Mytilus edulis: one gene and its partner. The protein of the gene in region 2 purifies or fractionates together with the protein of the main gene of each other region. This does not show direct contact. Links are inferred from orthologs where the notes say so. Each region holds a gene or a part of one and is shown on either strand. Other genes may lie near its edges. The genes, in order: rabenosyn-5-like and ras-related protein Rab-5B-like.

The links.
Region 1: the proteins of ras-related protein Rab-5B-like (region 2) and rabenosyn-5-like purify together in Drosophila melanogaster (affinity purification with western blotting; 3 studies listed by BioGRID, with this or other methods). This does not show direct contact. The link is inferred for Mytilus edulis from reciprocal best matches to the Drosophila melanogaster genes Rab5 and Rbsn-5.

Annotation. Positions count from the first base shown.
Region 1 is NC_092344.1:105,702-122,229, reverse strand, and holds the start of rabenosyn-5-like, read right to left. Parts: upstream 6,462-16,528; 5' UTR 6,353-6,461; intron 196-6,352; 5' UTR 150-195; coding exon 11-149; intron 1-10.
Region 2 is NC_092357.1:59,729,921-59,746,438, reverse strand, and holds the start of ras-related protein Rab-5B-like, read right to left. Parts: upstream 7,607-16,518; 5' UTR 7,456-7,606; intron 1-7,455.

The DNA of each region.
Region 1 (16,528 bases), on a different chromosome or scaffold from region 2:
ATCTAAGTACCTCTCAACTGCTGCAGCACGTCTTTGTCTTCATTTGAATGTTCTTCCTCAAAATGATCTTGTAACATGGATACTGTTCCTAGATCCTTCATACACATTGGGCATAAGAAGCCCTCTCTTACCTCACTCGAAGTTGCCATGCTTGAACTATGGGGGAAAGTGGCTCAAGTTTCAACTTTAAAAATGCTGTAAAATATCAAGGGTAGAAGGGTTTCAATTCAAGATTCAAGGATTTTGTTACCACAAATCACTGAAAACATTTACCCAATTCTTTCATACATGTAGCTTTGATAGCTACAAAGATTAAGTTTGTAAATTTGGCTGAACATGTACCTGTAGAAAACTAACAAAATATTTACAAAGAGGATAGCACCACCAAATTTTTGCAGTGATGTAGTTAACCAAGCCCATAAATTTAGATACGATTTAGGTAAATTTATCGATCTATTAAATAAATTTATTCTATAAGGTTATCAATTGAACACTTTAATTAGATCTTGTTTTTACCAGTACAAATATTGATTTTTTTGGTTTATAAATTAGTTTATGTACATTCATAGTCCTACAATCTATCAATACCTTCATTTTGGCATACCAGTATTACAAGGTTTATTTGCCTGGAGAAAACCACAACCTGAGATAGGAAAACTGACAATCCTAGTCAATTAAGATTGGAGTGCTTGGAGAAAACCACCAACCTTCGATAGGAAAACTGACAATCCTAGTCAATTAAGATTGGAGCTGAGTGCAACTGCACGAGCGGGGTTCGAAACTCACAACTGGCTAGTGATTTCAGTAGAAGTACTTAGACCACTAGGCCACCAAGGCCCCAACATAACAAGGAGAAGGTCGATGAAGGAACAAACCCTGTAAGGCTATGATTTATAACCATACACATGATACACATGTATATGTTTTAGTATAACTTAATTATTTTAACTTGACAAGTTTAGGAACAGGAATTGGTAGACATTTCATCAATCATCATATATGTACACAACCAACTAATGAGTAGTAATGATTGAAGAATAATCAGAACAATTTGAAAACTCTTTTCATTATTTTTTTAGAGATAAATGTGCATTGTGAGCCTAGGCTCAGTGTTGTACCTTGACCTATAATTGCTTACTTTTATAAATTGTGACTTGGACAGAGAGTTGTCTCATTGGCACTCATACCACATCTTCCTATATATATCTATACGTTTTCATTGTTCTGTCAATACTTATATAAATATAGATATGCACATGGCAGTACTAACATGACTAACATGACAAAGTACCTTATTCTTGAATTCAAATTTTTTAAAACAAGAATGTGTCCCCAGTACACGGATGCCCCAAATAATAGAAAGATCATATCATAGGGAACATGTGTACTAAGTTTCAAGATGAATGGACTTTAACTTCATCAAAAACTACCTTGACCAAAAACTTTAACATGAAGAGGGACAGAGGAACAAACAGACGGATGGACACACAGACCAGAAAACATAATGCCCCACTACTATCCTAGGTGGGGCATCAAAATTGATGGACATTCAGTTTTACTGTCTCACTTCTTGTTTAATTTTTAAAATCTTTAATTAGTTCAAATTTTGAAAGACTACGTATACACTTATGTATATTTCATTGAGATACATGGAAACAAAATACTGAACTTGATGACATCAGCAGTAACTGGAATCAAAAGTGATCTAGTGTAACTACATTCGTACAATAAAATTTAGAATGGAAACGGGGAGACAACAACTGGACCAAAGATTAGAAAAGAGCCAAAGGCCATCAATGGGTCTTCAAAACAGTTAAAAAAATCCAGCACCCGGAGGCGTGTTTCAGCTGGCCCCTAAACAAAAATGTGTACTATTTCAGTGATAATAAAGTCATACTTAACTCCAAAACATATAAAATGATAAATGAACTAAAATTAAATATCCTACAAGACTTACCTAGGTCAGAGGCTCCTGACTTTGGACAAAAATGAGGTGGGGTTAAACATGGTACAAATTTACATATTAATCAGACATTGTCATGAAATTAAAATATAAAAGAATGCTGGTGTGGTAGACTGTATTTCATAGGTTTTAATAGTAATTGTGTATATTTCTATTTTAGTCTATAGTTTTTTATTTTGTATATTATATGTTTTGTATATATGACTTATATTGATAATTAACAGTATGGACATATTAATTACAGATTGTAATTAATTGATTATTTATTTTCTTTATTAGATATATAGGAAGATGTGGTATAACTGCCAATGAGACAACTCTCCATCCAAGTCACAATTAAAATTTATAAAAGTAAAACATTATAGGTGAAGGTACAGTCTTCAACACAGAGACTAGACTCATACCGAACAACAAGCTATAATGGGCCCTAAAATTGACTAGTGTAAAACCATTCAAACAGGAAAACCAACTTACTAATCTATATAAAAAACGTGAAATGAGAAACACTTATGAACCACATAAACAGACAACAACCACTGAACATCAGATTCCTGACTTAGAACAGGTGCAAACAATTGCAGTGGGATTAAACGTTTTAATGGTACCAAACTTTCTCCCTTTTCTAAAACAGCAGTATACCATCACAACATAGAAAGACACAGTATAAAATATCAATTGGAATGACTTAACTCAATCCAAAAACGAAGTGACACAAATAAACGCACAATGAACGAATAAATTCAGCATTCTTAAGTTCATTTTATTAACTTATATTAGACATTTGGAATTTGACAGATGATGATTTTTACTGGTAACCGTAACTTCGGTTTCCCTATATTTTTCTTCAAAGGATTTCTTTTCATGGTTCATTGGATCACACGCTACTTTATTTCTATTGATCATTATGTTTTGTACTTTATTTCTTTTGTTCTTTATTCTGGTAATCACTTTTGATATTGATATAATGGTGAACAAAGTCACATGTGTGTGATATTCTATTAAGTTTCATATAAATTCTTTTTTAGGTTTCTATATTCTATATATACATTTACATAATGTAGTAATCCTGGAAAGATGTGATTAAATCCATGAAGATGATTCAGGAGGTCCGAGTACACAGTTATTTCGTAGTGCATTTCTTTTAGACAATAAATGAAAATTAAAAAAATCCCACCTGCGCTTTCTCAATAATATTTTTACAGTGTGTTGTACTACTTTTGGGACAAATTATATCAAAATTATAGAAAACTTCATCAGCTCTAACTCAAAATATGGACAATTTTATGTTAAGGGGGTCTTGAAATCTTTTGACAGCTTCCGAAGTGCTAATTTTTGACCTTTTTCAGCTAGACCTAATCACTACTTTACATTAATATTTATGATCCAATTTTTTTTACAGTGTCATTTCAACCCCCAACTTGCAATATGAGGCATAAAACATGGAGAAATAAATTTGGAAGGGGTATAACAAAAATTGGCAAGTAACACACTGTCCACACTAAGGACTATATTCGTGGACAACGAAAATCAAAGGACGATAACTGTGTACTCGGACCTAATAGGATAGAAAAAGTTGACCAATCTTAATAAAACTTGGTATGACTAAAGCTTAATATATTATAAGACTGCTTACAAAGTTTCATAGCAATAGGATATATATTATAGACAATATGATTAATTTTATATTCAACTTTGCGTGTTAAATTTAGACGTTAAAATTGAGAAATTTCAACTATCAACATTTGGGGCTTTTAAAATTTAAATATTGCAAAAAAATACTTTTAAAATGCCTTAATATATAATATATCATGTATTTAAAGCAATAGAGTACTCATTTGATATATCAGACTTAGCATAATTATTCAAAAGTCAAATTTATATGAGCCTGTGCCTAAAAATGGAGGTTTTCCAATGAAGGGGGGCCTTACATAAAGATGTAATATTTTCCAGCAATTTTAAATTTGTGAAGCTTTTTGATTATAAATAATCCTTACATATGTATTTAATGTACTTTAAATGGAAAGAAAACTTACAAATAACATATCATATTAGTTTAAAAGGGTCTTAGGCCAAGTAAGACTAAAAATAATTTAGGGTCAATTTAGGCCGTAGCACATATTTACATTTAAAAATGCATATTGAAGCTATAGGAAATAAAAATTTGTGTCTTTTCTATCATTTCTATACTCAGGTGACATGATACAATAAATCTGAGCACAAAAAGGCTCTTACATTCAACTTTTTTACCAGACAGTATGGTCTGATACAATGATTTTTCACTTTTTAGTGAAAAACTTGCATGCAATTTTAGTCTCAACAGGCTTATATTTGAACCACATGCTATCCTACAGAAGTAAAGAAAGATATTATGTGAAATGAAACAGGTACAAAAGACATTGTTAAGTGCTTTTTATACAAATTTAGTGAGGGCTTTATTATGGACTTCAACTTTTATGTGCCATGCTCCTCACATTTAACTTGATCCAAACAGGGCGTTAGACGAGGGTCATTTATACAACACATTTTGCTCATATTGTCTGAGATAATCTTATTCTCTGTAGATTCAGAGTTCACAAATGAGTACTAAAACTGGATTAAAGCATAGAAACACAAAAATTGACACATGAAAACATGTCAGATAGAAAGTCAAAATGCCACTTATGCATCAACATTGAAAAAGCTATGAAATGCTTATTTTGACCATATAATGCCAAAATTGGTCATTTTTGCAGAAATTCTATCAAATAAAAGTTTAAATCCTTTAGTTTTATGCTATTTGACAAATTGACACCATCAAATCATTCAGGGAAGTTGCCAAAGTACAGATTCTATATTTCCTGATTTCACCTCTTAGGTCCGAGTACACAGTTATTTCGTAGTGCATTTCTTTTAGACAATAAATGAAAATTAAAAAAATCCCACCTGCGCTTTCTCAATAATATTTTTACAGTGTGTTGTACTACTTTTGGGACAAATTATATCAAAATTATAGAAAACTTCATCAGCTCTAACTCAAAATATGGACAATTTTATGTTAAGGGGGTCTTGAAATCTTTTGACAGCTTCCGAAGTGCTAATTTTTGACCTTTTTCAGCTAGACCTAATCACTACTTTACATTAATATTTATGATCCAATTTTTTTTACAGTGTCATTTCAACCCCCAACTTGCAATATGAGGCATAAAACATGGAGAAATAAATTTGGAAGGGGTATAACAAAAATTGGCAAGTAACACACTGTCCACACTAAGGACTATATTCGTGGACAACGAAAATCAAAGGACGATAACTGTGTACTCGGACCAGGAGGCCTTTGCACAAGTTGCACCTCATGGGAAGGTATAAGCGTATTTACACTTTTGGTATTTAGCTGAATCTTGCCTCCAAATGACCTTAGATCTACTCCGAATCACCTTTTGACGTCAAGCAACAATCACTTTTAAAATGTGACGTCAAATAATTTAAATTATGATGTCAAAGTTTACGGGAACCTGTGTGATTTTACGTAATGGTGGACAAACTTGCATACAAGTGTAAATACGTCTTTTTATTAAGCTCTTGTTTATTATCTTGATTTTTGCAACCACAGAAGAAGCATTGTGTTTTATTAGCCTTTAAATTATTATTATTGTCTGTATTTGGATACGCCTCTATTGTGCTCTTTCCAAAAAATAAATATTGAATATTGAATTGGATAAAAACATTTTTTATCTGTTCATATACTGTAGCTGCCATGAATACGGCATGCATCAACTTTAAATATCATTAATATGGGCTAGATTGATTTGTGACAGATCAACATCATCACTGGCCTAGTCCAAATGATTATGATGTCTTGAAAGGCGATTTTATTTTTTTTGCTTCCACAGTATATATATATAGCTGCCCCAGAAGAGGGGGGTAGGAGGGGTCCTGATCCCGAAATCCCGGGCTTAAAAACATGAAATCCCGAGGTCCCGAATTTAAATAAAGTTAAATCCTGGATCCCGTAATTTAAAAAAAAAAGTATTCCCGAATCCCGAAGGGGTAAATCCCGAAATCCCGAGCTTAAAAACACCCGATCCCGTGGTCCCGATAAAGGTCCTATCCCCCCTCCCAGAAGGCGTCAAAGTGAAAAAATTAACATGATTAAAAAGCCTTTCAAGACGTCATAATTATTTGGACTAGACTGTGGCCCAAACAAATTGTATCTGATCAACTTGGGGATGGAACACCATGAAACCTTTAGGATTCAGTATCTGTTGGAAAAAATCAAGGATCAATCACAAAACAGAAGAAGACATATATACTATACTCTATTATCTATACAAATCCTTTGAAATTGGTTACTGGTTTTGACTCAGCAGAATTACAAATTTGTATCGATTGTATAACTATAATACCCATTACTTAGTTTTTTCTATATTGAAGCATTTCTTCTTCAGTTGCAGAAAACAATCAACATTTCTGCAGTTTTGACATCTGCCCATCAATGACAGTCCAGAGGAGATCCGAATGAGATCCATAGAACGATGGGATCATAAATAAAAAAAATACTGGTAGAACTTATGTTCTGTTTATTAGCAAAAGTAGTTTTATGACATTCCACGCAAAAGGCAACATTTAACAAAAATTAATAACACTACAGGAGAACAAATCGACAATTGGACCGTTCGGAACAATAATAAATTCTCCCTCACTTCCTTTTCCGGTTTCACTTTCTGACTGCCTGTAGTGTAAATACTTTATGTTTATAATAATCTGTGTCCATCTATCTTTTAAATTGAAGTGTTTTATGAATTTACTACTTTTTAAGGCAAAACCAATATAGGTCTTTCAAACCTTTCGTAGTTAAGAAAATATTTATATGTATCAAAGGTGATATTTATCAGTTATATTTCACCGTGTTGACTGTTTTGTTATTTTGATTTTTCTTGTAGAAGAGTCGATGAGTTTGTCAATGAAATACGTTAGATCTCGTACAGTACGTATATATTGACGTTTGTTGAAGATGTTTTTCCATTTTTTTTTTACCTCCGACAATTGTCAGGGGGTAATAGTTGATAGTTGGCCGGTCTAGGGTCTGTTCGCCCTGGGTTCGTTCAACCTACCTTTATAAAGTTAAAAGAAATATCAATATAAAGGGCATACAAATTTTAATAAACTTATTTAGATATTTATATGGTATATATTCCTTGAATTTCTGACAACACAAAAGAAAGCTTGTTCAGTGACATACATGAGGCAGGTACAATGTAGTAATGCCCTTTACAGTCGGGCGTCAAATGGTCATTTTCAGCTACCGTTGGCTTCAAATTGTTTAAAATTTTACCTTGATCCTTAATTTTATCGTGATTTGTCAGAGGTCTCGTATTATTATTATCCTTTATAATAATGTAATTTTTGAGATAAATTTAACGTGATTCGTCAAAATCAATCAATTTTTTTATTGTTTAAAAATTTCCGTTAACATTATTTGGCAACAATTTTCACTGTTTTTTCGTCATGAAGGTAGATGAACCTTAAATTCAAATGCATTGTATGATTTAGAAAATTAAAAACCTAACTGGATTTTGCAGTGCACTTTTTTTCGTCCCTGCAGAAGATGATAAAATTAACTAATAGTTGAGTTTCGTTTGATATGGTCCACCCAGGTTCACAGTTTAATCCTCAATTATTGTCAGGTATCTATTGTCTACAAAAATGTATCTATTGTCCATGTCAATTAATACAGCTCACTTCAATTATTACCCGTGGGGATGTTCTCAAACCTCTTTTCTATCTTAGCTTATTTTAGCACTTTCTGAAGGAATGAAAAAAAGTGTACGGCAAATTCTGTTAAATTTTTATTTTTTTAAAACATAAAACATATTAGAAATATATTTACCTAGGGCATGATATGCTTAAAATATGTCCACATGAACCTTAACATATTCTGTTCAAATAATAAACATTATGCAACTGAACAACAATGAGAAAAAAATTAAAATCAGGGCGAACAGGTACGTAGCCGGTCATGTCAGGGATAAATCATACAAGTTTCCTCATTTTTGTTGAGCCTGTGATTAACAGCAAAAGTAGGCGAGACACAGGGTTACAAATTTTTGTGCATATTGGTGCAAAATAATTCCAGAATATCCCCAAAATATGATAAAATAAGATACCTAGATTAGAGTTGGGGTCATATTCAAAATGATTTCCAAGATACGTTTTGTACAGTACATCAATTGGGCGAGTATAAAATACCAAACTCTGTAAAATTTTGCAGAACTGAATATAGGATAATATTAATCAAATGTTCCGGATATTTGGGTCAATTAAATTTTACCAAATTTGATATTTTGCATATACATTTTTTTTTTGTACACGCCACAGCCAGAAGTGATGTATCTTGGGAAACCATTTTGAAATCATGGGTAATTGGTATACCAAGGTTATATTTATCAGGCAGGGTTTCCGCTGGCGGTCGCCATTTTCGCAATTTGCGAAAAAATAATAATTGTGGCGATAAAAATTCGTTATTTGCGAAAGAATTTGGCGAAAGAAATATATAAACTGATTTATTTTCCTCCATCTTGTTTATTTACTTTTTTTTTTCCAGTTTCTCGGACTTTACCCGATCAGACAATACTCGGAATTCACCTTGACCTCATTAAGATTTAGACAGAAAATCAATAATCAGCTGATTGCATTTTATAGCTATCGACAACAAAGGACTAATTAATAAAGGTGTTGATTGAATTGTTTCACAAAATGATATGGTCAAATGGCTTCCGCTATAAATGTCACATACAGAATATATTTACATCTTTGCGACGCACGTGTTTGAAGCAAACTTTTGACATCTCTCCCTTTAAAGATAGTTTTGAAAAGAAAGCTGTTGTTGTGACGAAAATTGTTCAAAAGCAAGAAAAATCTCTGATTCAAAACTCTAATTCTTTTATCCTTTGACTTTAATAAAGTCGTTTGAGTGACACATGCACGTGTTTCAAGCATAGTTGTACATCTCAACTTTTTCATTTACGATGGTCAAGAAAAGAAAACTGTCGTTATGAAAAAATCTATCCAAAATGCTGGGAACAACCCCTCGAATGAGAGTAACCCTTCAATGTAATGACTACACAAGAAATGAGGGATCAATTTCATGGGATAAAAGCTTTTGTTTTGTTGTAAAAATTACTTCTTACTACAAAAGGGCACATCAGGAAAAATATATTAATGTTACTTGGCGAAAAAAATAAAGTGGCGAAAAATATATTGTTTTGGCGAAAGAGGTGGCGAAAAAAATAATTGACCCAGGGGAAACCCTGATCAGGGCTTTCCAAAGTAGCCGGTAGACGTCTGTACAGTGGCTTCAAGTGCCGACTACTTCACTGAAAAAAATATAAATTCAAAAAGAAAAAAATATCTTTTTCAAATGTTTAAAGGCAGCCGATTGTCACATAGTCATGGTCACGATAAACAAGGATGAAAAGTCGTGTTTACCTTGGGCTAAATTTAGTTCACATGAATTCAAATACAACAAATGGAAGTTTTTAACGACGAGAAAAATAAGGGGGGTCATTTGTTTATAAATTCGCGTAATTAAGCAAAATAAATCGATCAAGATTTCTAACAAATTGGATTATTATATATATAAAACTCCTTTAAAACCAAATAGATTTTAAGCATAAGATAAAGAAAATAAAAAACAAACCGTTACATAAAAAAAAAAGATATTTCTTTCAGATTTTTTTTCCTTTAATTTCATAGATAAAAAATGGTCATTTAAGGTTCATCATAAGGAATTGAAAAATATGGCCGTGTTTACACCTCCAAAATTACTATGAATACAGACAAACTGGTACATCCAGGAAAGTTTTAAGGCATGGCAGGAACTAGATATATAAAAGTTATATGAAGTCTACGTTTCAGAAAATAAAAAACTTACCTGGATTTTGATGTTCATTTTTTTCCAGTCTGCAGAAGATAGCAAAATAAACAAACACCCGAGTTTCATTTGATACGGTCCACTCAGTTACACAGTTTAAACCTGTTAAATCACCTATTGTTTACAGGTGTCTATTGTCCATCTATTGTCCATTTAAATCAATACTACTCACAACATTGAATATATGAGGGGAGCTTCTCAATCGTTTTCACTACTTAGTTAATTTTTGCACCTTCTGCAGGAACGAAAAAAAATGGATAGTAAAATCTAGAAAAGTTTATAATTTTCTGAAACATAAAATGCATTTAAAATTTATATATCTAGTTCCTGCCATCCCTTAAAACTGTTGCAGGTGTACAGGTTAGTCTGTACTCAGAGTAAAATTTGGGGTGTAAATACGGCCATTTTAGCCAAAAGGTTATGATGAACCTTAAAAGATGAAATTAGGTGCCAGGAGATAGCGAGAATGCAGGTTACAGCCACCTATAATTGTAATTTAGCCTACTACTTCAATTATAAGGGAAAGCCCTGATTTATGTAATTTTAACAACATAAGAATTGACAGAAAAGGTGCCTCTTTCCATCTGGCTGGATTATCTGATCAAAGCACCAACAATGTTTTGATTGTGCATTTTCTCCCTCAATTTAAACATTAGTATATTTTATCAATAACATTGTTTTGTGTTTTACAGGCTGAAATACTAAAGCAAAAAGAACAGAATGGCAAAGTCCAAGAATCATACGGCTCATAATCAGAGTAGGTAGTCAGATATTTGAAAAGCTTTCCACATAATTCATATTCATCTTCTTAATTAAAAGGCCCTTCATCATTGCTAATTGGAAAACAATTCAAACCAAAACCCCATATTCTTTTTTTTTTCTAAAACTTGAAAGGCAAAGTTGACCTTTGGCATAAATTAATTATGCTATGCTACTGAAAGGTTAAGTTCCTGCTCCATCAATGACCCCATAAGTTATTATATAACACAAAATACTTGTTTTACTTCTGTTAAAATAAGATGGCTTGTAAAAAAAAAAGACTTACTGGAAACTTTTATCCTATGTTTTCCTTTTGTTTAATTTCAGATCGAAAACAGCACAGAAATGGCCTTCACAAACCAAAAAGATACAGATATCCTTCACTTAAAGGAGTAAGTTATGATTATATATGTATCTCACACAGAACAAAGTTCTGTACTAGGGTATAATGTTTTTACCCATCTGTAAAAATTCTGTATGAAACTTTGCTGATGATATAAAGGACATACTATGTATATTTCGCGTATTGACATGACATTATGATTCAACCTTTATTCTAGAATGCTAGAAGTTATGCCTATTTGAACATTGAATTTTGGCCTAAATATACTTCTTCAGCAGTTTGTCATTGCGACTTCTTTGAAACCACAATACAGATTTTAAAATTTTAAATTGTTTGTAGATTTACTATGTAGGGCAAAGTATGTAGATATACATATCAACATGAAACTAGGATTCAATCTAAACCACACAACATAATTTTATGAAACTTAGTAGTTATATTGAGGACATAATATGCTAAGCTGCACATCCATAAGAATTTTTTTATCAGTTGACTTTTATAGAAGTTTTAAGTCTTTAAACTTAGGAATCTGGTGAGATTGTGTTTTGTCCAGTAATAATGTTGGGATGTAGGATATGTGAGCACGCTTATTAAGGATTGTTAATTAAAGAACTAAATTGGCCATTTACCCATGTCTGGTTAAATATACCTTTTTTTATCAGACTCTTTACATGGCCATATATTAATGGATCAGTAACCAAGATCGTTTGTTATTATAACAAATGTATTGTGACACTTATCTAACAACCAATCTGGCAAATAAAGTTAAACAAAAAAGTTGTCAAATAATCTGTACATTAGAAATGCTTTGTTCTTAAATATAACAAAAAAGTAATGTCGACCCAAATTGCAGTTTGAAATCATCTCTTCATTTGAAAAGATTTAGCCCAACAGGTAGTGAATGATTGTCATTATAAAGTAAGTCTTACAAAAAAAGTCTATTTACCTCGCTAGGTGGACCCTAAACATGGAGTCTATATCAAGAACACTAGTAAACACTAATTAACAGCCTGCACCAAAATCTATGCCAACTACTAGTCTGAAGACCAAAATTCCAACAATTATCTTGTGTGTCTAAACAAATATTTGGAATAGAATAATTTACATGAATGGGGCATTGTACTTGTGGCTAATAGTGCAGACTGAATTTTCAAAACTTTATGATAATACCAATTCTGGACTTCTTTTATTCTTATAAATTAATTATTTGTTTTAAATTAAAATAACAAAAATCAGATTATAAGTTATGAAAAATTGATATAAAACTAAAAGGGAGATAATTTTCATTACATACTCAACTATATTTATAATCCATTAAAATTAATGCTTTTAACCAATTTGATGAAACATTTTACTCATATTATTTATAAATTTCAGTTTTCTGATTAGAAATCATAGAAGTTTAATAACTTTTTCACCAATATTTAGAACTTGTGACATTTAAACTGTTTTAATAATGGAAGTTCCTGTATCTAATAAGTTGAACTAATTTAAGATAGAGAGTTCAATACTACACGATACTAACTGCGAAATCAGTCCGTATTGGAATGCAAGAATTATTGTTTTACTCTGTAAATTCCAAATACAGGAACTAAAACCTTATACTATCAAGGAGCTAGACTATTTTACCAGTTGATGAGTTTGAAGTGATTTATTAGGAACTAAAACCTTATACTATCAAGGAGCTAGACTATTTTACCAGTTGATGAGTTTGAAGTGATTTATTAGGAACTAAAACCTTATACTATCAAGGAGCTAGACTATTTTACCAGTTGATGAGTTTGAAGTGATTTATTAGGAACTAAAACCTTATACTATCAAGGAGCTAGACTATTTTACCAGTTGATGAGTTTGAAGTGATTTATTCATACTGCAACGTTAACTGTATAGCAAGTGAAATGCAGTGATTTATTTGTTGCCGTCTACTTCAAGATTTTAGCTCTCCTCTTTTATTTGAATTATAAATGTTAAATTCAAAATGTTTTTTTACCTTTTGATCTCTAACAGATAGTAACTGCATGTTCAGTGCAAAATTGTAAACAATTAAAAGCAATCCATTGATATGCATAATCTGTACCAGATAAAATAAAATGGCCATTTACCCATGTCTGGTTAAATATACCTTTTTAGATCAGACTCTTTGCATGGCCAAATATTAATGGATCAGTAACCAAGATCGTTTGTTGTTTAACAAATGTATTGTGACACTTATCTAACAACCAATCTGGCAATTAAAGTACAACGAAAAAGTTAGTAAATACTGTACACAATAGAAATGCTTTGTTCTTGCACAAAACCAAAATAGTATTAATTAGTACTGTCAATATTAAATTTATGGAAAATGGCCTCGTTAGCCCTTTTAAAGGTACAATTCTTGCAAGATTTTTATAAACTTAAACTAAAGGCTAATATCAGCAATATCTCGGATAATTTCTAAAATGGGGGGCGATCCACTTAAAGACCAAACAGCCGATTCATTTCTACCAGTGATTTTCCCTTGCAATTTTGTGTGAAGGTATTTCATGATTTGAGGAACAAAATATGATGAAAAAAATTGGGGGTCATCGACTTAGTTTTGTCACTATAGCAACCTCAGTTTCGTGTTTTCCCGAATATTAACATAATATTTACTTGTTATCTAAACTCTCAAAAAATCCTTTATATCAAGCATACAAGCATAATTCTTATTTCACGTTAAAACGTAGATTTGTATCTATCAAATACAGGTTCAAGAGTTTGACTTGTATTGTTTTGATCTTTAAAAACATTATTTATTTCATTCCCGCCAAAAATAAAACGTAAAAATGAAAAACGTTTACAGTATTAAAAAAAAATCTACCAGTGATTTCTTCATAAAAATTTCAAGAAGGAAAGTGCCATGTGTACTCTTCAAAATAAAGCAAAAAAAAGTGTATGTCACTGACCTTTCAAAAAAGTTAGGAGCAATTTTCATGTTTTTTTTCTCGTTCGTTTTGAAGAAAAGAGTTGTCTTTCTTCGAAACATTGCATCTGACGTCATAGTACAAACTTTCCTTGCTGGCGCACTATTTGAAAAAAATCGCAAATTGGACGTTTGAAACCCGCACGAATAACAACTATATTCACCTACTTTACTATACGGTAATACAATAGATTAAATGCATGTATCAGGATGTTGTTGCTGCACAACATATTAACCTTCAGAAACACCATCCGTCTGATTGGAAAATTGTTTGAAATAACCTTTTACGCCGCTTTTGTTAGGAAAGTCTGTTTTTGTCCTCTGTCCATCATTAGCAAAATTATTGAAAATAAAAAAAGAAATGAAAGATGGCACTGGCTAACTTACTGAGTATTTGACTATATCAGACTAGATGTGTCTTTTTTTCCGCGTCAATTTCAGAAGTATGCCGTAACAAACTCATTCGCGACTGTTGACAGATGGACATACAAAAGCATGGACTTCTTTATACCATTATTTTTCCCGACTAAGACGAACGTATAGAAGTTATTCCATCTAGTTTGTGAATTCATTATTTCTGACTATTTCAGATTTAACTTTAAGGAAATTAAAATTATAGGTATAATATATGAATTTTTGATTCCTCAACGTTATACATCTACCATAAAATACAATCCTTGTTATTACTACCTCACGTGTTTTGAATAAACCAGACAGTAAATATAAAATACAAAAAGTTTTTAATTCAAAAATTAATTTAGAAATAATTTTCTCGTTGAAAACTACATTTAGTAAGATTTCTAAATTACTCATTTTGGAAATTAAAACATTTTAGACAAGGTTGTTGCCGGCATTGAAAATCGAAATGTGTTTTCAATCTTTCATAGTTGTACAGCTAAATGAAAGGGAGATATTTTATCCCGGAGATTTTATGTTGGATATTATTCTTGGAGCAATTGTTTTTGTCATAAGTTAAATTTACAACAATTAAGTTTTAAACACCGAAAATTTTGATTTTACTTCACATTCGCTGAGTATTAATTTTATTAACATGTTTTGCCTACAGCTAATTTCCTAATGCATGTAGGGTTAAACTTTGGTTGGCTTCCTTGCTTTGTTTGTATAAAATTTTATTAACATGTTTGGTAATGAAGATTGACATCTTCATATATAGGTATGCAAACCTGTATATATGATATTTAAATTCAATTGGACGTTATCAAAATATAATTATACAAAATATACAAACAAAGCAAGCAAGCTGACCAAAGTGTTGATATACATACATTAGGAAATTAGCTGTTAGCTTCAGTGAGATCAGGCGAAATGTTTATCATTTCTCCTTAAGACAATTTGAAATGAAACAATTGACAAACGACAGTGACCCTTTGTCCTAATTTTATTTTAACTACAAGATTTTGTCAAATAAGCAGTATAAATAAATTTTAACTTCATTGCAAGATATGATTTTATTTTACGAGAATCATCCCGACATCAGTTACATGCATACGTTGCCAGTATGTCAAAACTTCTAGGAATAATTGTTTATCGGCCTGACCTTCTGAATACTTAACTTTTGACAAATTGACATTAAAATTAGAAGGATCATATCATAAGGAACATGTGTACTAAGTTTTAAATTGATAGGACTTCAACTTCATCAAGAACTACCTTGACTAAAAACTTTTTACAAAAAACTTTAATCTGAAGCGGGACAGACGGACGAACGAACGGACGCACATAAATTAGGCATGAAAATAACTTTCGCCTATCTAATTAATCTATACACAATCGGCGCAAATGAAAGACAAAATCTACGCAAGTGAAAGAATAATAAAAAAAAAAATGCAGATCGGCGCAAATATAAGACAAAATCTAAGCATTTGAAAGAATGAAAAATAAAATGCAGATCGGCGCAAATGCAAAAAGTCGAGATCAAAATTTATATTTTATCATTTTTTTTAGAACGTAGGTTAAATATAGTGTAGTATCTTTTGTGTCCATTTGAGCTAAATTTCCGCAAGATATCAGCGCGACGCTTAATTCCTCTTTTCTTGAAGGACATATTTTTAAACGTGCACCATGTTGGAATCCGTGAAAACGCGAAATAGGACGTTATAATTTGACATTTTTTTATTGCTAGAAACAACGTCATAGAGCTTTTATGTCACTACCAAGTTGCTTTAGTTGATGCGCATAAACAATAGGCTGTTTGGTCTTTAATTTACCCCTGTCGTAGCTGAGGGGGCATTAAGTTTTACCCTTGTCCGTACATCCCTAAGTTGGTTTCCATTCATTAACTTTACATTGCCTCAACCAAATGTTATGAAACTTGTACACAATTCTTATTACCACTAAATACAGACCAAGTTTGAATTTTGGTGGCGTGACTTCACTGTTCTAGAGTTATGCCCCTTTACAAATGGAATAATTGCTTAATTTTTTGTTTCCATTCTCTAACTTAAGTTTGCCTCAACCAAATGCAATGAAACTTATATACAATGTTTATAACCACAAAATACAGATCAAGTTTGAATTTTGGTGGTGTCACTTTAACTGTTCTAGAGTTCTGCCCCTTTACATATGGAAAATTGCTGATTTTTTTGTTTCCAT
Region 2 (16,518 bases):
CTTAATTTGCGACCATCAAATCCCCAATTGATGCCGTCGGAGCTTAAAATACAATACAGTTATCTCTTAAGTAGTTTGCTTATATCATATATATGTTTTGGGGAATATGTAACATCACAATCCCAAGTTACATAGTAATTGAGTGGTTTCCATTTATTGCTAATTTTCGCATTTGTTTTTCGCATAGTGCGCAATTTGCTCTCGTGTTCATGGTGTTGTACTGTTTCACCTCTGGCCAAGGTCAGGGATTTGTATTGTTTACTATTTTGACATGTTTGAACTTTTTATTATGCAGCTTGCTATGCAGTGCCAGTATGATATTTTCTTTTTCATGTTGAAAGGCATACCATTATGATAATGAGACCTATAGTTGCTCACATTTACATGTATGACTTTTGGTCTTTAGTAGAGTATTGCCTTTAAACATGTTAAAATAGCAATCCTACCACATCTCTTTATTTTATACACGGTTAAATCTACTTGTTGCTAAATAATTTACACAAATCAGTAAGCACTTCAAAGGAAGAGAAGGAATAACAATGACGTGTGGACTTACAAAAAAGGTTTGGCTGATTATGGATGATATTGATTGCCATGCAAAGCGATCATCACCTATTGTGAATGATGAGAATAACAGCCTGCGTAGATCATCATGATCATGTGAATCCCAACTTTATAATGATATAGTCACTATTGCATATTAAATTTTGAAAATTTAAGGGGAACGCGGAGAAAGGCATGAAACATTGACAACATCAGTAAAACATTGTAAATAATTCGCCGTTTCAGAATCTAATGCATTCTGGGTAATATTTTCAAAAGTGTACACCAAAGCGTGGTGATTGGTTTAAAACGTCCCAAACAATTAAAATGCAGCCAATGACGTGACGTTATTTTCATTTTGGGGTACGAACAATGAAATTACCCATAGTGCTTTAGATTCTGAAACGGCCTATTAAAGTTTACTCATGCCCATCATGTCTTTCATGTGTGACAGGATTGCATCTCTTAACAAATGTGGTAGATACTTAGTCAGCAGTTACTTAATGCACTGCCTTGTAACACAAAGGTATGTTTGAGACAAAGATGATTTTGTATGTAGAATCATGCTCTCCCATAGTCCAAGATTACTTTGGCTGTTTTGCAAGACAAGCTGGGGCCATGGGACGTCAGAGCTCCTCCCATATCAAAAAGTGGATATTTGCCCACCCAAAATAGATGTGCTGCTTCGTCACTTCTGGTCAGGGTTGGCAAAGTATTACCCGCCCAGGAATTCCTGGGTGGGAAAACCGGGGTTTTCCCGGGCTGGGCAATACTCCCAGAAATGGGGAATACTGGGCATTACTGGGCAATATGATTTTTTAAGCTTATTTTAACATAAAATAGTAAAGTCTTGGTGTAATTTTATAGTATAACAGCTAAATATATACTTTTTATACTGATAACCATTGACAGTCATTTCTAAAAGAATGAAAAATTCAATTTCATTCCCTTCTATGTAGACAGAATACAAGATTTGCACATTTAAGGAAACCTTGTTAATTACCAAGCATTGTTTCAATAATCCATACTTTGAAAAAAAAATTATTGCAATGTTTAAGTGAATTGTTAATTTCAAATGTTTTACATTCATACCTTTGTGATATTGCTAAATAAACACCCTAAGGGGTCATGCTATTAATACTTATAGAATTGAAAGGGCTGATTATTGTTACATAAACAAATCTGCATTCTAATCTGAATAATTACTTACTAATTAGTGACAGTACATATACATTATTTAAATGTACTTTTTCTTACATGTAATTGTTAATTCTTAATAGGAGTTATATTTATTTAAAAAAAAGTTTTTTGCTTTATGATTTACAGTTTTTACCAATACAGACAAACAAAAAAGGTTATATATATATCTTAAATGTATAAAATTTGTGTTTGATCACTGAATCCTCTATAAAATTCAGACCAGTATTTTATATTACCCGATATTGCCCAGTATTACCCACAAAAACCCAGTAAAACCCGGGTTTTCCCAGTATTTCCCACTGGGCTGGGCAATACTCATAAAACCCGGGTTTTTGCCAACCCTGCTTCTGGTGCCGACTGGCGGCCTTGGAATAATAAATATCGGGCATTAATCTGTTCATTTTTCATTTATCTCTTCATTTATGTAAGTTTCACCTACATGTACCTGCCAACCTTTATTTTCCCTTATTTTAACAGTTTTCACAGAGACCCATCGATTTCTGCATTTTGACTTTCATTTTCAAAGATTATCATGTGACCTTTTCAAAGATTATCATGTGACCTTTTCAAAGATTATCATGTGACCACGAGAAAACAAGTGATGATTTATGCAAATGACCATATTCTAACACCTCGTTCATTTACAATGCAAGTAATCTTAATGTCCGAGAGCTTCCAATTGTTAACATGGTTGGCACTAAATGCTTAATACCAGTCTCCTGTAAAGGAGGTGAAAATCGTGGTTGGTTACTATATGTTAAATATCGATCTCCCATAAAGGTTTTAAGTAAATTTATGAAAATCTAGAATAATACTGATGTATAAGTTTATGGTATCAATATCAGTTTATAATGTAATGACATACATAGAATTGTCTTATGACTTGTTGTTACATGCATCTTTATTTCATTTATATGTTGTTTTAATATATTATAATTTATGTATTTGGATCAAGCCTCTATTGTGCTCTTTCCAATAAAATATTGAATTGAATTGAATAAAGGAGGTGATAAAAGAATTATTATTTTGCATATTTGAGTCTCGAGGTCGCAAAATCCCACATAACTTGAATGAAGTCCATTTGAAAATAAAAGAAAAATGTCTGAATCAAATGTCTCGAATTTGACTTACACAGTCATCTCAGTACCAGAATCTATGACAAACGAGACGATTTTAATTTTGAAATCATAAATTTCCCCCACCTTAGTAGCAATATACCAACTTCACCTGCATATGGGATATATATTTCCCAACTTATTCGATATTCAAGAGCTTGCAGCTCCTACTCAGACTTTGTAATATGTCATCAGTGTCTGAGTAGAAAGTTGATGAAACAGGGGTATGTCAAAGAACGTCTCGTTCTTTTTCTAAAAAAGTTCATCGGAAGGTACCAAGACCTTGTTGATACATGTAAATATTCCGTATCAACTTCTCAAATAATACACGATGGTCTTGATGTATAGATTCTTCGTACTGATGTTGTTTATCATCTTAACAACGTGTTTTATAGTTCTTTCATTTGTCTTTGTTCTATTATTAATATTACTTTTACTGTTGAATGGTTTCATGTGATATCCGTTTCACGTGGCTCGGTACTTATACATCTCGTCAATGTGTTTGTATTGGCTTTCATTTTTTTGTGGTTTGTTTTGTATTTGCGACTTTTTGTATTTCTTCGTTCTTATAACGTGACTCTGTACTTTAAAAGATCCTGTCAGTATGATATTGTTCTATTATATGTCATTATGATATATTTCTATTATGAATTACAATATACGTTGAACCACAAACGTCAAAATCATTCAATCGCGTAGTGGAATTAACTATTTTTGGATTCTTATAAATTCTATATATAACTTTTGGACTAGTTTAAATCTCGGTCTATTTCTTAAATTTATTCTTACATACTTTTGATTTTTTAACCCTGTATGCTAACATTCCCATGAAAATTTTTAAAATTGTTTGTACGCACATTGAACGACAAATTTATGTGACGTATAAAATTTTCTGACGTCAGACACTCAAATCAATAACTGTGTTCGTAGATAGATGTTTTTGTGTTCTGTTAAATTGTTCCTTTTAAAATTGTTAAACGATGATGACTGATGTACCCATATTTTGACTATTATATTCATTGTGTCTGTTTATTTAACGCATCAATGTAAAAATATCGGAAATTGATGAGACTGTCATTAAAGTGAGAGGGTTAGCGCTATAGAACCAGGTTTAATCCACCATTTTCTACATTTGAAAATGCCTGTACCAAGTCAGGAATATGACAGTTTTTGTCCATTCGTTTTTGATGCGTTTTGTTATTTGATTTTGCCATGTGATTATGGACTTTCCCAATTGATCTTCCTCGAAGTTCAGTATTTTTGTGATTTTACTTTTCACCAGTCAGAGCTCAGACATAAACAAGTCTATTTCTGTTTTTGACTTAAAGAAGTCAAAACATGTATTCTTTATAAAAATGTGTTTTCAATTTTAGACTTATCTAAGTCACAAAATGACAGACTTGTTTAGGTCTATTTATGTTGATGAAAAAACTTAACTTGACTTGGTGGCCAAACTACACCACCTTTGACAGTAAAAACCTGTCTGAGAGTTCACAAGGACTTGATCTATTTATATTTAATTATCTAATTGAACATCCTTACTAAACACAGATGTTTTACCTCATTAAGTGTGGATCCAGGTGGTTGCATTGTAAGGTTAATTAACATGATCCCTGATTTTTCAGACTCTCATTCATATTTTTCTTTAGAAGACAAGGCATTGGCTTTCAATGTTGTCATTATTTGATTTAGATGCATGACCTTTTTATAAGTATGCGTGGGTCTTGAAGTTGACCAATTTTGGTAACTTATCGACTTGTAGGAGTTGATATTTGCAACTTTTTGATTCTGGTCAATCATTTCTTGCTTAACAATATTTGACTTATTTAAGTCGTATTTTGTCTTGCATTAAAGGGAGACAAATCTTAAAACTTACAAATTTAGACATCTATAAGTCAAAAGCAGATTCAGACTTATTTATGTCTGAGCTCTGACTGTTCACTGTGAAATCTGTCTAAATATGAGAAAATATAGATTGGCAGGTAGGTGAAACTTACATAAACGAAGAGATAAATGAACAAGAGCTGTCAAAATGACAGTAAACCGGTTTCTTTAACATTTATTTGTGTTCTGGCATTTATCAATATTACAAGGACCAAAACTCCTAATGGGAAATTTTAAAAGGTTTGGTTGAACGGTTCATGAGTAAATGCATGGACACAACATTTTTTAAACTTTCAATAACTGTAACTCCTGAATGGTAAAAGTCAAAATCGTCATTATTGAACTTGACCTCCATTTTGTTGTCAGTAACAACATATTAAAATTTTAAAAGGTTTGGTTGACTGGTTCATGAGTAAATGCACGGACACAACATTTTTTAAACTTTCAAGAACCGTAACGTAACTCCTGAACAGTAAAAGTAAAAATTGTCATTATTGAACTTGACCTCCTTTATGTTGTCAGTAACAACACATTAAAATTTTAAAAGGTTTGGTTGAACGGTTCATGAGTAAATGCACGGACACAACATTTTTTAAACTTTCAAGAACCGTAACTCCTGAACGGTAAAATTCAAAATCGTCATTATTAAACTTGACCTCCATTTTGTTGTCAGTAACAACATATTAAAATTTTAAAAGGTTTGGTTGAACGCTTCATGAGTATATGCAAGGAAAACATTTGGTTGCCGCTCGCCCGCCCGCCGTACATCCCCAAATCAATAACCGACATTTTTGACACAAAAATCCGGTTAAAAATGAACAGATTAGGCCACACCAATTTGATTCCTTGTTCGACGGACCCGCCCGCACCTATTATTTTCAAAACAGATTTTTTTTATTTTTTTTATATTCCCGCTTCCCGCATCCGGATATGTAAACATGTCTATTTCCCGCACCGTTTTTTTGAAAATATTATAAAAAGATATCAACATTGGTTTCTTTCCCCTTACTTATATTCCCTATCCAAAATGTTCCGTTGTTAGAATAAAGTACAAAGAACTTCTGAAGGATTTGCCTTCAACTGCAATTATATTGTATGCTGGCAAAACAAAACTATCTATAGCCGCTGCATGTTTATGTACCTGTCCTGATTGATTCAGGGGCCTGTCGTTCAGCAGTTATTATCGTTTGTTGATGTTGTTCATTGATATTTTCCCGTTGAATATATAAATTAGATTGTTGGTTTTCCTGTTCGAATTGTGTACGCTAATAATTTTGGGATCCTTTATAGCTTGCTGTTTGGTCTGTATCAAAGCCCTGTGTAAAAGGCCGTACTTTGACCTGTGTTTGTTATTGTCAGGTTGAGAACAACCCTCCCTCAGACAAGGGGTCATTTTACTGATGTAGAAAAGAAAATAGAAATACCAAGGATTTGTATAGTTCTTCTATACAAAAACTTTGAAAATTTGGAATTTTGTACTCAAAAAGGGGAGAGTTACATCATATTTTAAACAACTTTTTCTAAAAGAGGGGTTTACTTATTTTGAATAATATTAAACTGTTTAAGTAAATGTGTTAATTTAACATGGTTAAAGTCCAGGAATATTACAAAATTCTTGGCCATGTTTTGACCATTTAATACTAGCTATAGATAGATATATAGTTCTTTGAGAAAATATGAGCCCTTTTGTACAAACAAATATATTATAACTTATATGATCCATCATAAAACATGTAAAAGGGATATTTATAAAATTAAGAGGTTGCCCCCAAACTGATTATGACTTGGATGGAGAATTGTATCATTGTCAGTCACACATACATAGACCAGATTTAATTATTTCTTGGTGAACAGGGAAAAAATACTTCAGAAATTAAAAAATGTCAAAGTACAAGTTATAAATCAAGTTTTAATATTATCAAAACCTACTATTTTATGTTTACAAAAAAAAAATATAATCGCTCGCCTTAACTTTTCAAGCTTCGCCTCAAAAAATTTCAAATTAAATATTTGTTTATTAAAATTTTCAAATCGCTCGCTCGCCCCAAATTTTGGAGTCCAAAAATCTGTAGAACAAGAAATTAATTTGGTGTGGCCTTAATGCCCGATTTATATAATTCCAAGGCAGCCAGTTGGCACCAGAAGCGACGGAGCAGCGCCTCTATTTTGGGGTGGGCAAATATCCACTTTTTGATATGGGACGAGCTCTGATGTCCCACAGCCCCAGCTTGTCTGGCAAATCAGCCGTTGGACGTCAGAGTAATCTGGGACTAGCTCTTCGGTTACTGTACTCATGGCATCAGACAACATTCCAGCAAAACATGTGGAGCGGAAATATTGTGACGCTATGATAGATAATCACCAACTATTTTTTATCTTTAAATTATAGTTCTTTAAAATTGGACAGATCACTGCAAAGATATTTTTTGTCATTAGACATATAACAGTTGTGATACAACATAAAAACTGCTTGTTGATGGTGCCAGCAAGAAGTGTTAAACGCATTCAATGGCAAGTCTATGTATAATTTATCGTTTCACGCGATCTCGGTTGTTTGTTTGATATATTTTGGAGGCTAAAACACATGATCAAAAAATGTAAACACGGAAGACGGGTTATTTTTGGCATTGACATTTATCGATTTAGCTTATAAAAATGTCATGATTTGTGGGCTTCGTGGACTAATTTTGGACCATCTTTGACATTTTCTTACCAAAAATAAAATAAATCAGCTATAAGGGCTTTGACTGTCAATGTACAGATGGCGAAAATGTCTAATTAATTCACGTAATGCCCCCTTTCTACGTAGATACACCCTCCTTTGAGATGTAGCCAAATCACTGCTTACCGGAAAATGGTCCGAATAAACTGAAATCGTTTTCAAATTAATAAAAAACAAGGTAAAATTGTTGGAGTCGATTTTTATTTTGGATTTCTAGACTTTAATCGTTTATTTTATATACGAGTTTTGTTTATAACCATTGTGAAATCACTGTAATCAAAGTTACATTTTGCGTAGTGATATCATCATATGACGGACACCATGATTTATCAAATTTAGACCCCGCATTTATGACATCATACAGGAAATCGTGTTTTCTTCTGCTATTTGTTTCCATTACGAGGTTTACCGAGTGTTTTAAATTTAGAACATTTGTGTCAAGGATGCCATCGTTGGCCGTTCCACGGAGGGATCATGATAATTATAGACCAATAGCAGTTTTGCCTTGTCTCTCAAAAATCATAGAACGACATATAGCTAATAGTTTGTATATATATTTTTAAATAGTAATGACCTTCTTAATACTACACAGTCAGGTTTCATACCTAAACATTCGTGTACTACTGCACTTACTAAATTAGTAGATGAATGGTTGGCAAATATAGATAATGGAGAGATAAACGGAGTTATATTTTTAGATTTAAAGAAATTTTTGATCTGATTTTAAATCATATAATTTTATTGAAAAAACTTGAATATTATAATGTTTCAAATTGTACACTAGACTGGTTTAAGTCATACTTGTTTGAACGAAGCCAACAAGTTAAGGTCAATAGCGTCATGTCTAATACTAAATGCATAAAAACTGGGGTACCACAAGGTTCTATCCTGGGCCCTCTGTTATTTATTTTATATATCAATGATTTACCACTTAATATAGAACATTCATTAATAGATTTATATGCAGATGATTCTACATTACATTGTAAAGGTAATAATTTACTTCAGTTAACTTCTAACCTTCAAAATGATATTCATGTAATTGAAAACTGGTGTTCGCAAAATTGTATGAAATTTTAAATGCCAAAAAGTGTAAATCAATGATTGTTGGTTCAAAACAAAGACTTTGTTCAACTGGAAACAGTTTAGATATCAATATTTCAAATGAGCAAATAGAAAATGTAGATTGTGAAAAACTTCTTGGTTTATATATTGACAAAAAACTAAATTGGAATCAGCAGATAGATAAAATGTCATGTACTATATCAAACAGAATCAATTTATTACAAAAGATAAGAAAATATTTACCTATGCATATACGTATTATCTATTTTAATGCTTATATTCTGCCATTATTTGATTATTGTTGCAATATATGGGGAAGCTGTTGTGAAAGTGGAATAAATAAACTTAATAAGTTATTAAAGAAATCTGCTAGGGTTATAGTAGAAGCTGACATAATGACATCATCCAGTTTATTGTTTAATAGTTTACGCTGGTTAAATGTGGAAAAACACATTCAATACCAAAAGGCAATACTTGTATTTAAATCATTAAATGGATATAGGAAGATGTGGTGTGAGTGCCAATGAGACAACTCTCCATACAAATAACAATTTAAAAAGTAAACCATTATAGGTTAAAGTACGGCCTTCAACACGGTGCCTTGGCTCACACCGAACAACAAGCTATAAAGGGCCCCAAAATTACTAGTGTATGGTTCCTAACTATTTACAAGAAAATTTTCATTTTACTGATAATCAAAATTATAACTTACGTTCAGCTGATGAAAAACTATTAAATCTTCCAAAACCAAAAAACAAATTTTTTAAAGAAAACATTTACATATTCAGGTTCTCAAATATGGAACAGTTTACCAAATGAAATAAAAATGAGTAATACACTTGCATCTTTTAAAACAAAATGTTACAAATTTTTCATCAATTGTGCAAATTAATATGCTTTTTCATTATTATTTAAATACAATTGTATATTGTGTATAATATAACTTTATAATACTCTATGTACTTATAAATATGTTATTATTATATTTTGAGGACTCTCAGGAAGATTAGTTTTAACTAATGGGATCATCCTCTTGAAATAAAGATTATTTATTTATTTATTTATCAGACGATCAATGGGAGCATATAGTTGGAACCCCCCTTCCACTTACTCTAGGTTGGGAACCCGGGCCCCTGTTTTTAAAATGGCTGGATCGCCCCTGTACCAGGATTGTAATTTAGTACGCCAGACGCGCATCATTCAGTGATATAGGCACTTGTCTCACAATTTTCCCCCTTTATACCTTAATTTATAGAATTTTTTTTCTGAGACGATTGCCTGTGATCAGTGACGCTCATATATTTATAATTAAAGCCGAACAAGTACAAAGTTGAGGGGGCAGGACCTTTATCGGGACTCCGGGATCGGGTGTTTTTAAGCACGATATTTAGGGATTGACCCTTTTTGGGATCCAGGAATTCTGTTTTTCGGATTTCGGGATTACGTAAGTTGAGGCCCGGGATTTCGAGATTACTTGGTTTTATGCCCGGGATTTCGGGATCAGGACCCCTCCTACCCCCCCCCCCCCCCCAATCAAAGTCAAAGAGCAGTGATATTGGTGGTCCACATGAAAATCTCAAGGCCATAGGCGGCCCCAGGGGGTTTCGTGGGAAAAATATGGTTGATTATATAGAGAATCATTGAAGGCTGACTGGAGCACCCCCCCCCCCTTTTGTGGGTCAGTCAGCGGGCCCCCTTAGGAAAAGTTCTGGATCCGCCACTGATTAGGCTGCTTTTGGAGTCACAAATAAAGAAAATTCGATTTTTAGTATTAAGCATGACACGTGCGTACGTGCAAGTCAAATTATTTTGCCGCGAAAACGGGAAATGAAGTCTAGCGGCGCGCGCGCGGAACTCGGGAAATTACAAAATACTGAGAATTGCTTACGTACATAGTGTAAGCGGGGACGGGAATCTGACAAAACAGTAATCGGGATCTGGGATCAGACCCTCCCTCCAATGAGACCCCCTTAATTTATAGGGGATGTCGCTGGAGTTCTGTTACCCTACTCTTTTCATATATATCTAATCATTCAAATTTTAAAAATGTATACCTTTTTATACGCCCGTCGTCTTTTAGACGGGACGTATTATGGTATACCGTTGTCTGTCCGTCCGTCCGTGCGTCTGTCCGTCCGTCGTCCACACTTCGGACAATAACTCAAAAACACTTTCACCAATTTCCATGAAACTCAAGTGAATTGTTTATATCTATTGACGTAAGCTCCCTTTCGTTTTTTTTTTAATGTCAGATTTTAAGTTTTGGATTTATTGGGCTTTATTCATAAAAAAGGGGGGATTTTCAACACTTCGGACAATAACTCAAAAAGGCTTTCACCAATGTCCATGAAACTTTGATGAATTGTTTATATCTATTGATGTAAGCTCCCTTTCAATTTTTATAAATTTCACATTTTAAGTTTTGGATTTATGGGGCTTTATTCATAAAAAAAAGGGTGATTTTCAACACTTCGAACAATAACTCAAAAAGGCTTTCACCAATGTCCATGAAACTTTGGTGAATTGTTTATATCTATTGATGTAAGCTCCCTTTCAATTTTTATAAATTTCAGATTTTAAGTTTTGGATTTATGGGGCTTTATTCATAAAAAAAAGGCGGATTTTCAACACTTCGGACAATAACTCAAAAAGACTTTCACCAATGTCCATGAAACTTTGGTGAATTGTTTATATCTATTGATGTAAGCTCCCTTTCAATTTTTATAAATTTCAGATTTTAAGTTTTGGATTTATGGGGCTTTATTCATAAAAAAAAAGGGAGATTTTCAACACTTCGGACAATAACTCAAAAAGGCTTTCACCAATGTCCATGAAACTTTGGTGAATTGTTTATATCTATTGATGTAAGCTCCCTTTCAATTTTTATAAATTTCAGATTTTACATTTCCGTGTTATGAATTTTTATGCTTAAAAAAGGGGGGATTTTCCAATTTTGGGACAATAACTAACACTTTCACAAAATTTTATGCAACTTTGATAAATTGTTTATATCTATTGACATAAGCTCCCTTTCCATTTTTATAAATTTTAAGTAATGAATTTTTATACTTAAAAAAGGGGGATTTTATGAAACTTTGGTGAATATATTAATGTAACATCCCTTTTGATTTGTATATATATTTCTAGTTTATCATATAAATTCATTTAAAGCATAAAAGACAAGTTAAAAGAGCAACGGGCGTATCATGCGCTAAAGCGCAGCCCTTTATTATATATTGTGTAGGTAAAAATGTAACCTCTTTGGTTTCAGCTAGTGGTGTGTAATGTATATATATACGATTGGAATATCAAAGTGTAAAAAAGAGAAAAATTGGTTGATAAAAACGTAATACATGGTAGATGTAGAAAATCTGACATGATCAGCTCTTGAATTGTTCAGAATGTTGATCTCTTCCTATAAAGAAAAACTGTTCACATTAGGGCTACTGTGACACCATTTAATTAGAAGTCCTGAAAAGACATGTTATTTTTTTTATATTATATGTCCGTATCCAAATTAAAACATACAAAGTTGTGGTAAAAACATTCAGTTTCTAGCAAGTAGTTATCACTTTATGCACATCTTAATTTCATACATATGCTGAGTGTCCCTCTTTTTGAAATAAGAACATATCTTCACCTAATAATAGTAATAAGATCAACAAACATTAAAACTTCAAACTGTTATCAGACTTATTTATCAGTGTTTATTTACTGTACATGTCACAACTGAATCAGTCTCTACCAACCTCCATTCCAGAAGTCCACATTTAAATAAAAGTTGTGAAAGGTAAAATATTATGATCTTGCAAATACATGTAATAATATATTTCAGCAATCAGGTATACATACTTTTAGTTTTTATTTTGTTTATTGTTTGAGATTGTAATGTTCGTTTAATTTTCATAATATTTTGACAAAATATGACAAAATATTTGCTTTGATCCTTTGACAAAAATGTAAAAATTTCAAAAAATTTAAACCAACCATTTATCAGAAAAATTACACTGGTTATAGCAGTTTGAATTGTTACGAAATAAAACAAAGAGGAAAATATCGCTGTCACATATATACATTACATACCATTTGGTTGAGGGAAATTTAAGCTAAAGAACGGAAACAAAAAATCCAGCAATATTTCTCATTTCTTAAGGGGCATAACTCTAGAACGGTATAAGTGACGCCAATAAAAATTCAAACTTGATTTGTGTTTTGTGGTAATAAGCATTGTGTATACAATTCATAACATTTGGTTGAGTAAAACTAAAGTAAGATATATAAATGAAAAGATAAGCAATTGTTCAATTTTTAAAGGGCATAACTCTAGAACAGTAAAAGTGATGCCACCAAAATCCAAACTTGATCTGTGTTCTGTGGTAAGAGGCTTTATGTATACGTTTCATAACATTTGGTTGAGGCAAACTTAAGCTAGAGAACGGAACGAAAAACCAGCAACTTTTTAATTTGTAAAGGGGCATAACTCTAGAACAGTAAAAGTGACACCACCAAAATTCAAAGTTTATCGGTGTTTTGTGGTTATAACCCTTGTGTATAAGATTCATAACATTTGGCATTCGGCAATCCTCGGTAGAATCCGCTACTCTCATATGAGGGTACGGAATCGGCCGAGTTGAGACGAATGAACATTTGGTTGAGGATAACTATAGTTGGAGAACGGAAACCAATTTGGGGACGTACGAACGGAAAAGGGTAAAACTTAATGCCTCCTTCGCTACGGAGTATTTTTTTTTCAATTTTAAAGGATCATACCTCTAAAATGGTAAAAGTGACGCTACTCGAATTTTAATACCACCTCTTTTACGACCCGGGGGTAGGGGGAGGCATAAAAAAGAATATCACAATAAAAATTGTTGTAACTTGCGAGAGCTCTTTATTAATTTTTCATCAATATGATTATTAAAGTTTAAAATTTTAGATGAAGGTATTTCACAAATATTATACTTTAAGTTTTATCTTGCCAGTTTTTACTTGACTAGTTTCTCAGTGTTATAACTATTGATTAAGTAGTCCGGCATTTATAAGCATTGGGTTGTGGTCAATGTCAGGTGTTTATATCTTAAACATAATCATTTGCAACACATACTTTGAATCTTGGTGGTTGGTTGCTTGATGTACAGTCCCAAATATAGAATGCTTGATGTACAGTCCCAAATATAGAATGCTTGATGTACAGTCCCAAATATAGAATGCTTGATGTACAGTCCCAAATATAGAATGCTTGATGTACAGTCCCAAATATAGAATGCTTGATGTTTGTAAATACTAATTAAAACACTTTTTTTATACTTCTATATAACGGTCGAAAAAAAAAGATATCAGTATCCAAAGATATTTCGGCTAAACTGACATATCTAAAAAAAAAAAAACATAGCATAAGGACAAGCCAAATTATGACCTTTACACATTAAAATTTCATCACCTTAACTGTACTGATGTCTTACTCTGCATAATTTTGATAACTAAATGCTCATCGTTAACAATAAAATCGTTACATCTTAGCTGACTTACTCATTACAACGTTAAAAAAACCCACCGAAACCCAGGAAAATCATCAAAAGATCCCCAACTACTAGTAAATCTGTAGAAAATTGAAACATAGAACATAACCGAATTATCAGTAGTGACTGTATCTTTCTTATTAACAACCGGTCTAGTAATTCTTTTAACTAATAAATTTAACTTTCAACAAAAGAATTATTTGAAGGGTCAATTTGACCACAAATTTCATGTGCCCACTTAATCGAATAAACAGCAGACGATACCGTACTGTAAGTAGATCCGGAATCTAACAAATTAGACAAATACAAAGCAATACATCTGTAAAGGCGAGGCAGACATTGAAATTAAGCAATAAAATTGAGAATGGAAATGGGGAATGTGTCAAAGAGACAACAACCCGACCAAATAAAAAAACAACAGCAGAGGGTCACCAACCGGTCTTCAATGTAGCGAGAAATTCCCGCACCCGGAGGCGTCCTTCAGCTGGCCCCTAAACAAATATATACTAGTCCAGTGATAATGAACGCCATACTAATTTCCAAATTGTACACAAGAAACTAAAATTAAAATAATACAAGACAATGTTTATTAACAAATTTTTCCCACTTTAAAAAACCATAGTACTATTTTTTCACAGTACTGTCTCTTGATTCCAATAAATGTTTCGATAAGCTGCCAACGGAACTGTATAAAAGACGAGTTTCATCAATTCCACTGTACCACGGCGTCACGGCGTCACAGCGTCACGTACAAACTGATTTTGCTTTATTCTTGTGCAAAAGAAATACTTCAATCAAAATCTGATTTTAAGAGCAGACAATGCGAAATTCAAAGGATATGCTCCAAAAACACCATTGTAACCTGTCCCTCTTACAATTAAAACGCATCTTACGCAACACGACGGATGCCACATGTGGATCAGGATCTGCTTACCCTTCCGGAGCACCTGAGATCACCCCTAGGTTTTGTTGGGGTTTGTGTTGTTTATTCTTTAGTTTTCTATGTTGTGTCATGTGTACTATTGTTTGTCTGTTTGTCTTTTTCATTTTTAGCCACGGAGTTGTCAGTTTATTTTCGATTTATGAGTTTGACTGTCCATGTGTCCCTCTGGTATCTTATGTCCCTCTTTTTTTACTTTCAACAAAAGTACAATTCAAATAGACTTCTTATACGTTCAGGTATTTCACATACAATTTTTATGGAAATATTCTTTATTAAGCACAAAAATGTCAGTATTCACCTCAAAAGCTAAAAAAAACCTTAAAATAGACTTATTAAAGAAGCGATATAGATACGATACTGTTGTCAGGTCATTAAAGATTGCATATTTTGGCGTTAATATTGGTTCACTTATAGGGTCTTTGCATCGGAACTAAACACATTTATTTAAAAACCAGTTATTGGCATGATATGGGTTATGTTCTTCTCATATATATGTTATGATGGAACTTTATTTGGCGTTTAACTTTTTCGGATTCGAGCGTCACTGGTGAGTCTTTTGTAGACGAAACGCGTGTCTGGCGTATAGACTAAATTTAGTCCTGGTATCTATGATGAGTTTATGATACTAAACCCCTAACGGGAAGGATTGTGCCTGATATTCATATGATGAAGAAATAGTCTTTCAATCAGTTTAATAGAAGTCTGGAGCTGGTATGTCAGTTATCTGCTAGTAGTCTGTTGTTATTTATGTATTATTGTCATTTTGTTTATTTTCTTTAGTTATATCTTCAGACTTCTCTTGAACTGAATTTTAATGTGCGTATTGTTATGCGTTTACTTTTCTGCATTGGCTAGAGGTATAAGGGGAATGTTGAGATCTCACAATCATGTTTAACCCCGCCGCATTTTTGCGCCTGTCCCAAGTCAGGAGCCTCTGGCCTTTGTACTATTTTTAATTTTAGTTTCTTGTGTACTATTCGGAGTTTAGTATGGCGTTCATTATCACTGAACTAGTATATTTGTTTAGAGGCCAGCTGAAGGACGCCTCCGGGTGCGGGAATATTTCGCTACATTAAAGACCTATTGCTGATCTTCTGCTGTTGTCTGTTCTATGGTCGGTTTGTTGTCTCTTTGACACATTCCCCATTTCCATTCTCAATTTTAATAATGCCCAGAATGGAGCTGATTTCCAAAATGGAACATTAAGAGAACTCTGACATCTATCGTCACATACTTTTCTAATGACATTGTATACACAATTTGGTGGTGGTGCTAACCAGTTGGTTTCAGTACCTTTGTACCAATATTTTAAATTAAACCTAAAACATTTACTATTATTATCAGTAGCAAATCTATCTAAAAAAATGTTTTCCCCAAAGCTCATCAAGCATGTCAAACACTTCAACATTCATTCCCCAATCATCACAATCTGAATATCTACTTAAATTATCAGGTGTTTTGTTTTGTTCCCGAGGACCCATTGTGTGCTTAATACTTATATTGTACTAGTATTCTGTGCTCAATTCA